2 linked regions of the Cricetulus griseus genome follow. The protein of the gene in region 1 interacts with the protein of each later gene in a pairwise test. Links are inferred from orthologs where the notes say so. Each region holds a gene or a part of one and is shown on either strand. Other genes may lie near its edges. The genes, in order: Trim21 and GRB2-related adapter protein.

Region 1 (4,337 bases):
GTTTCCTAAATATAATAAATGTCAAAGGAAAATTCAACCAATGCTTTTTAGCGCAAGTATAATACAGTTGATGCTCACAATCTCAACTCCCTTCATTGGTACAGCACCTACCTAGACATCTAAGGAATAAATTTCTCACCCCAGACCATCTGAGAAGAGGGGAGCAAAATTGGAAGATAGAGAGATGGGAAAAGAGTATAATTAAAGTACACTGTATAATTAATATATGCTAATTAAAACAATGACAGGATCTTTCACCCCAGATTTTATTTTTTGTTTTGTTTTTCTTTTTATTTTAATTAGAAAGAAAATTATTTTACATGTCAATCCCAGGTCCCTTTCCCTCCCCTCTGCCTCTCACCCCCCCACCCCACAACTAACACCCTACCTATCCCATACCCTTTCTGCTCCCAAGGGAGTGTGAGGCCTTTCATAGGGGGTCTTCAAAGTCTGTCTTATTCTTTGGGATAGGGCCTGGGCCAACCCCCTTGTGTCTAGGCTCAGGGAGTATTCCTCCATGTGGGATGGGCTCCTAAAGTCCATTCCTATGGTAGCAATAAGTACTGATGCACTGCAAGAGGTCCCATAGATTTCCAAGGTCTCCTCACTGACACCACGTTCAGGGGCTCTGGATCAATCCCATGCTGGTTTCCCAGCTATCAGTCTGGGGACCAGGAGCTCTGCCTTGTTCAGGTCAACTGTTTCTGTGGGTTTTACCATTCTGGTATGGACCCCTTTGGCAGGGAGGTTGAGTTGAGGGAAGAACAGAAGAGAGCAAGATAAGAGATAATATAATAGAGGGAGACATAGGTTTAAAGAGAAATCAGGCACTAGGGAAATGTCTGGAGAGCTACAAAGATGACAACAACTAACAATCTAAGCAAAAGAGGAGAGGCTACCTTAAATGCCCTCCCCTGATAATGAGATTGATGACTAACTTGTATTCCATCCTATAGCCTTCATCCAGCAGCTGGTGGAAGTAGAAGCAGACAGCCACAGCTAAACCTTGAACTGAACTGAAATCCAGTTGCAGAGAAGGAGGACTGATCACCCCAGATTTTAAAGAACTACCAGTCTTGTGAGAAGGAATCCATTACTGGATGGAGCAAGCAGATAGTGAATCCTCTCCTTCCGGACCCCTTCTCCCAGATGCTCCCAGGTGTGAGGTGAAGACCCTTGTCAAAGGCAACACATCGATATCGTGTAGATTACATTGTTAAATAAGACCAGGAGGCCTCAGAGAGAACGAAGGCAGCAAGGCAGTTTCCTCCACCTGTGCCTGCGGCTAGCAGGCTAGCAGTCGGCAGCTTCTAGCACCTTTGACCTCTCTCTCACACGCTCCACCCAGTCTCCGCCTTCTCTGCTTGAGTCCTCCCCTAGCCGTTCAACTCTCCGCTCCTCCCCTTGCTCCTCCCGCTTCCTTCTAGACTAGCCTCTGAGAGGAAACTGAAAGTGAAATTTAGGGAGCAGGCTTGTGAAAGCCACACTGGGAGCTCACCCGTAGCCCATGCTGAGGACCCTGCTAAGGTGAGTGAGGCTGGGATCCCCGACCCACCTAGGAGTGCTCTCTCCTCCGCCCCTTCCCACCTGCGACTCCCACCCGAACCTGCCGGCGCACCTGCTGCTTCTTTTCAGCAGTGTTCTCTAGTTCCAGCCCTGGCTGGCTGCCCACACAGGCCTGTGGAAGCGGGGCTCTGAAAGTGACTTTCCCGGTGCCCTGCCTGGAAGGGGCTGTTTAGTGACTGGTGCCTGAGCTGAGACGAGGGGGCTAGTAAAGGTGGGAAAAGCAGGCTGTGAGCTAGCCCAGAGGGGAGCTCAGGGAAACTCCTGTCCCTTGAAGACCTCTGCTGGAGGTGAGTACTAGCCATTTAGAATGCTCTACTGAAAATTTATGTAGATTTAAGACTCTCAGCGCCCTAAAGGAAGTTAAGACAGGTACTAGGTTTGGATAGTCTTAGAGAAAAGCCTGGCAACTGCTCTCCACAAATGTGTATGGATAAGTACACATATTCACATATGTACATAAACATTCATATAGGAGAACATGTGGACACACCTACATTGATGCATTTGTGCTCAAGTATATTTTATAAATAAGAACATATTAGGATAAAAAACAGCTATGTATATATATGTATATACATAAATACATACACATGCAACCCTAATGACTGGGAAATGTACCCTTAGATGATGCCATAATGAACACACACCTTGAAGTATACTTCCATGAACCTATGATATAGCCTATTATTCATCATCATATTTGACCAAAATATCTCATGTAACGAATAACTTCGTAAACCTTTGACTCCTTACTCCTGCAGTTATTGTCAAGATTAATGAAGACGGACATAAGCAATGTAGCACCCAGTTGGAATATGGAGGGTGCTTGGTAAATATGGCATATGGTAAATGGTCACTCTCCGCGCCATGGAGGCGCAAGATGAGAGAAAGTGTGTGAGAGAAGTCTGGACACTGAGGGTTAAAGCAGGGATGGATATGATGAGCTGGAATTATTAACAGCATTATCCCCGCCACTTTCCAATGTTTCTTCTGGAAACTCAGTTTCCCCTTCTGCCTGACTAGATCAATGGGTCAGACTAGGGAGGAGAGGCTGCTGTTGTGCAGGTTGATACTCTTGCCTTCATTTGTTTCCTTCTCCTGTGTCATTTTCTCACATGTTTTCCTTTGCATTGTTTTGGGAACTTTTGGTATTGTCTTGCTTTTGCTTTTGTCATGCAAACTTTCATTTATCTCTTCCCTCCTCCTCTGCACTCAAAATCCTCCAAGATGGCTCTGGAAAAGATGTGGGAAAATGTCATCTGCTCTATCTGTCTGGACTCCATGGTGGAGCCTATGAGTATCGAATGTGGCCATTGCTTCTGCAAGGAATGCATTTCTGAGGTCGGGAAAAATGGTGGCGGTATATGTCCCGAGTGCCGGCAACAGTTTCTGCTCAGAAACCTCAGGCCCATTCGACGTATAGCCAACATGGTAGAAGACCTTAAACAAACAGCCGGGGATGCCAATAAGGACACCCAGGAAGACCGCTGCATGAAGCATGGAGAGAAACTTCTAGTGTTCTGTGAGGAAGATGGGCAGGCCCTTTGCTGGGTGTGTGCCCAGTCTGGGAAACACCTTGACCACACCAAGGTCCCTATTGAAGAAGCTGCTCGGGTATACCAGGTGAGGCTCTAGCACAGAGACACCCATAGATATAAAGAAGGTGCTCCATGAAGAATGCTCCGCTCCCCAGCATAGTGACTGAGAGTCATCCTTACAGGGGAATGGAGGGTAGTTTCTCATTGAGAGGAACTTGTGCATCAAATACAAGCTTATTTCTCAGGAGCCGAGACTATGCCGTGGGATGTGCGTGGATTATGCTTCCTCTGGCTTCCTGGTGAATTAGAAATGTAATGACCAGATCCCATTCCCCATCAGTGTCGCTCTGTTTTGTAAGACATACTAGGTTTCCCCCAAAGTCTTCCCATTCCCCTCTTCCACATCTCTATCTGGGGACTAACCTACCACCTTTTTCTACAGGAGAAGCTCCTCGTGGCTTTAGAAAAACTGAGGAAAGGGAAAGAATTCGCCGAGAAGCTGGAAATGGATCTTGCAATGCAAAGAACAGACTGGAAGGCAAGAACCCGGGGATAGGCTGGGTCCCAGGTCTTGATCTCAAGCAAGCATTAACTATGACTGTGCCTATCCAAGGGGTGGGAGAATTGTTATATAGGTCACTCCCCAAGGACCATCCACACTATATCTCTAGACAGAGAAGAATTTAAGAAAGAAAGAAGGAAGGAAGCTTAAAATCAGATGAGATTTCCCCCAATCTGTCACAAAGTTCAAGAATTACTGCAGAAAGTCTAAGAAGGTCACACCATCCCTTCTGACCCTGTCTCGGTGAATGACGGTCTTGTGATAACAGGTCTGAGGTATCCTGTGAGAAAATCCCAACTCCTGCACCCTTTAGACATGACAAAGAGGGGAGGGAACAGCCGGAAAGGATCTATGTAAGTCTGAGGTAGGAGGCCCACCTGACTCGGTGGCTGCTTAATGATGACCAGGCTATTAGTGCAAAGCCTGGTAAAGAATTAAAGTCTGTCGCATTGGTAATTTGCCAGGAGAAAAAAGGATACATCTGAAATTGACAAGGAGTGTAAGGGGCTCAGAGCAATCACAGACCCCAAAAGTGGAATGGGATTAGCAAAGACTGAATCAAGCTGTGGTGGCAAAAGAAACGAGATCATCTGTGCCATCCGGTGACCCTCCCAAGATAGCAAAGACTGTACTGAGGCCACTGTTGTCCCCTCGGGCCTAGGAATTGTGCA
Region 2 (4,533 bases), on another chromosome or scaffold:
TGTGAGTATGGACTCCTCAAGAGAGAACCCACTTAAATGTCTTAACCAGTAGCACATAAGTGATTTTAGAGGCTTCTGAAGTTATAGTCTTTAAAGGGGTCTCTTCCTTTTCCTTTCCTTCCTAACTTCCTTCCTTCCTTCCTTCCTTCCTTCCTTCCTTCCTTCCTTCCTTCCTTTCTTTTTTGAAGTGGGGCTTCATGTAGACCATGAAGATTCAAGCCAGCCTTGAACCCTGAGGATGACCTTAACCCTCTGCCTCCCGAGTGCTGGGATTACAGGGATGCACTACCTCGCCCAGTTAAGTGGTGCTGGGGCTGAAGTCTAGAACTCCATGCATGCTAGGCAAGCATTGTACCCACTAAACTATACTTCCAGTCCTGTTGAAAGGGTTTTCTTTTCTCTTTATTTTATTATTATTGTTTGTTTTTTTCTGGAAAGGGTTTCTCTGTGTAGCCCTGGATGTCCTGGAACTCTACTTGTAGATCAGGCTGGTCTCAAACTCAGGGATCTGCCTGCCTCTGCCTCCTGAGGATTGGGATTATAGGTGTGTGCTATCATGCCTTGCTAATTATTTATTTTATTTTACTTTAATTGAGATAGATAGCTCAGGCTTGCCTGGAACTCACCCTGTAGACGAGGCTGCCCTCGAACTCAGGAATCCACCTGCTTCTGCCTCCAGAGTGCTGGGATTAAAGACATGTGCTTTAATCTACTGGGCTTCTCTCTCTCTCTCTCTCTCTCTCTCTCTCTCTCTCTCTTTCTCTCTCTCTTCCTTTCTTTTTTTTCTTCCTTCCTTCTCTCTCTTTCTTTTCAGTAAATGAGATCCTAGGTTTTTTTTTTTTTTTCAGAGTTGTGCTGAACAGAAATACAGCCTGATAAAATCAAACCATAGGATATAAGAACTGAGGGAATGCTTCCCATACTAGTTTCAAGGGAGTGAGGATGTATGCTGTGACTATAAACAAGTTCATAATTTCATTTGTAAAAGTCTCAGAAAGCTGCAGGCTTCAAACTGGGAAAGGAGTGAGGCTAACACAAATATCCTAGTTTGACCTAGGCATGATTCATTGCTATGTAAGATACTTATGTGAAATATCTCTGCATAAAAGAATGTTGTTTCTCTGGGAGATCCTCATAGCAAATTCTGTCAATGGTGATGAATTCTTGACTCTTAGAGGACAAGAGTCACAGGCGAAGGCCTCCTTTTCCTTCTATGTTCCCTTTGTTTTTTTTCCTCTGGCTAGAGGCCTGTCTGCTCCCTCCAAGGCTTCCCAGCCTTTGCCTTCTGGTGCTGGGTGTCACTCCTAAGAGGGAGCTCTGACACAGGACAGGAGAGATGACAGGAACAGATGTTCTGGCTGGAAGCTCCAGGTGGTGGGAGAGCTGAGGAATTCGGGAGTGGCTAGAGGCTGGAGGAGGCAGCACTCCACAGATCAGCACCACCCCCACCCTGACTTTCCAGAGAAACAACCTCAGGCTCTAGAGCTGGTAAACCGCTGTGCTGGTGCGAGAAGCATAGGAAGCCAGGGTGCTCTGAGTCAGGAAGGGCTGTGTGAGAGGAGGGCATCATGAGGAAGGAGTCAGAGCAAGGAAACTCAACCCAGCTTCCATCCCAGAAGAAGCTGGGCTGACCTGTGGGGAACAGGCTGCAAGTTCATGAGGTTGGAAGCTCTGAGGTCACTAGACTAGATGACGAGCTGTGCAGAGGTCACCTTGGGGCCTTTATCATCCAGATTGGCAGAAACATGGGATCTCTCTGGAGAGTTCATCCCAAGTACCACAGAAGACAGCAGTGATAAGTCAGAGGGGGTGAGGTAATGACAGACACAAACATTTTTTTACTGTGTGTATGTATGACGTGTGTGATGTGTGGGAGCATGTGTGTGTGTGTGTGTGTGTGTGTGTGTGTGTGTGTGTGTGTATGAGTGTCATAACATGTACATGGAGATCAGAGGACAATTTTTAGGAGTTGGTCTCTCCTTTCTCTGTGGGTTCTGAGGATGGAGCCCAGGATATCCATCAGACCTGAGCAGCAATAACTTATACCTGCTGAGCCATCTCACCAGGCCAGAGATTTTTTTTTAAATGTGTGTGCATGTTTGTATGTATACGTATTTTGTGCATGCAAGTATTCATGAGCATACATGTGGAGGCTAGAGGTCAAACCCTGGTATCTCTCTCAATGTCTCTCACCTTGTTTCTGGAGTAGGGTGTAGAATTACTTGTCTCGCCGAAGCAATAACATACCTGATAAGATCATTGTAGTGAAGAGTTTGTTTTGGATCACAGTTCCAGGAGATACCATCCTGTCTGTCACGATGCTGGGTAAGGTTTGGTGGCAGGAACAGAAGTGGCTGACCACACTGCATCCAAAGTGAGAAAGTAGAGAGTAATGAATGCTCTCTCTCTCTCTCTCTCTTTCTCTCTCTGTTGCATTTGGTCCAACAGTTATGGTGGATCTCCCCATTTCTTGGAGATTAGATCTGGGATCCAAGGTTGCAATCGATGCTACAACACATGTGCAAAGTGAAAGTAAGTTGGCAAAGTAGCATTGACTATTGCTAAAACGTGCACTGCTTCGTTCAGGCAGCAAGCACACTGAACAGGAAATAAATGTGCTAGATTTTTATCCTTGAGGGCACTGTGTCTTTTCCCCACTGGCTGGGGTTTGAACTCACAGTGTTTGAAGGTTGGCTGATTGAAAAAAATTGGTGTTAAGAAAACAAAGAAGCTGGGCGTTGGTGGCACAGGCCTTTAATCCCAGCACTCGGGAGGCAGAGCCAGGCGGATCTCTGTGAGTTTGCGGACAGCCTGGTCTCCAGAGCGAGTGCCAGGATAGGCTCCAAAGCTACACAGAGAAACCCTGTCTCGAAAAACCAAAAAAAAAAAAAAAAAAAAGAAAAGAAAAGAAAAAGAAAGAAAACGAAACTGGGGTAAAGGGTCTCCTGTCTTGGCCCACTGAGTTTTGAGAATGCCACAGACTTCTGTGTAAACAACGTTTTTTCAGGAGTCACATTGTGAAGGTTCCATTCCTATGATCAGTCCTTTGCTAGAAAAGACTTGGATTCCTTCCGACTATTTCCTTCACTACCTCAGTGTACCCAACCTAGAAAATTCCGTGTAGCAGCCCAGGCACCAGCACCAGTTACTCGGCAACCTGTCAAGCTGTTCAATATTAGATAGCAACCACAACCTGAGCTCAACAGTTCATTTAGATTAGCTGGCCAGCAACCCTTAGGGATCCTCCTGTCTCTGCTTCCTGGGCACTGGAATTACAAGTGTGTGCCACTGTGTCCAACTGTTTTATGTGGGCCCTGGGGATAGAACTCGGGTTCTCATGCTTGTGCAGTAAGCCACTTACTGATTGAACCATCTCCTTACCCAGAGAGTTCTTAAGACTAAATTATATCCCAGGTTCTAAGTGAAATGTTGTGTTTACAACAGTAAACAAGCAAACAAGCCAAAGACTAAAACTAGAGTATTCTGAGGTCCACTTCTGGCATGGCACCAATGAGGACCTCTGTAGATCTGTCTCCCTTCGAAACTGGGGAAAACCAATGCAAACAAGTACACTTTTAAAGTCTTAGGGAATTATCGTCATTGTGAACAAAAAATGAAGGATCATCTACAAATGCTCCTTGGCTTATGATAGTGTTCCAACCAGATAAACTCATGGTAAGTTTAAAATACCTTAAGTGAGAAAAGCATTAAATCCACCTAAATTGCCTTAAACGTGCTTCGAACAGTTAGCAGGCAGTTGGGCAGAATCATCTAACTCATACTATCTTGCAGTGAATGTTGACTTTGCAGGATTCTGATGAAACACCACCAACAAAGCACACTGTGTGTGGGTAGTCTCACCTTGACTGTGGGATGGCTGGGAACAGCTCAGAGAGGGCTTTGGGCAGCAATCCAGGAAGAATACAAAGCCCAAACTCAAAGAGTGGTTTCTACTGGGCAAATGTCATTCTCACATACCGTAAAGTTTCAAAAACCATGAAAACCATTCTAAGTCTAGGACTGTCTGCATTCTAGGGGCTGGAGATGTGCTTAACGATAGGGCACTTGCCTAGCATGTGTGAAGTGAGGAGAGGAGGGGGAGGGGAAGAGGAACCAAGAACGGACCTCACACACTCTTCCTTCAGAGGATCAGAGTTAATCTGACTCATCTGTAGAGTGGTTTATGACTCAGAGAATTCTAGAAATGGCAGTTAGTGGGGGCTTAACAGCTGTGTGTAGTCAGGGAAAGAGACAGAGGCAACTCTGACGAAATCACCTTTATCCTGGGCCACTGTGAAATCACCTTTATCCTGGGTCACTGTGGGTATACCCAAAGCTGTGCCTGCTGAGGAACAAGTAATTCACTCACTAAATCATTAAACAAAGTTTATCTAACAAACTAAATCCAAACAAAGAGTTGGAGAAGGTAACAAATACCTAGAATTATTGCTTCTAACAAAATTATGAAGTGCACAAAACAAAGCAACAGGAAAGCATGACCCAAACACAGACATCGGAAACTTCCGTGACATA

Evidence for each region.
Region 2: the proteins of Trim21 (region 1) and GRB2-related adapter protein interact in binary tests that used the Homo sapiens proteins (3 or more experiments, as listed by UniProt). The two-hybrid records come from large-scale screens. The link is inferred for Cricetulus griseus from reciprocal best matches to the Homo sapiens genes TRIM21 and GRAP.

Annotation. Positions count from the first base shown.
Region 1 is NC_048596.1:96,819,988-96,824,324, forward strand, and holds the start of Trim21 (E3 ubiquitin-protein ligase TRIM21), read left to right. Parts: upstream 1-1,394; 5' UTR 1,395-1,527; intron 1,528-2,793; coding exon 2,794-3,189; intron 3,190-3,546; coding exon 3,547-3,642; intron 3,643-4,337. UniProt on the Homo sapiens protein: E3 ubiquitin-protein ligase whose activity is dependent on E2 enzymes, UBE2D1, UBE2D2, UBE2E1 and UBE2E2.
Region 2 is NC_048600.1:75,656,311-75,660,843, forward strand, and holds the start of GRB2-related adapter protein, read left to right. Parts: upstream 1-1,527; 5' UTR 1,528-1,814; intron 1,815-2,247; exon of another isoform or gene 2,248-2,508; intron 2,509-4,533. UniProt on the Homo sapiens protein: Couples signals from receptor and cytoplasmic tyrosine kinases to the Ras signaling pathway. Plays a role in the inner ear and in hearing.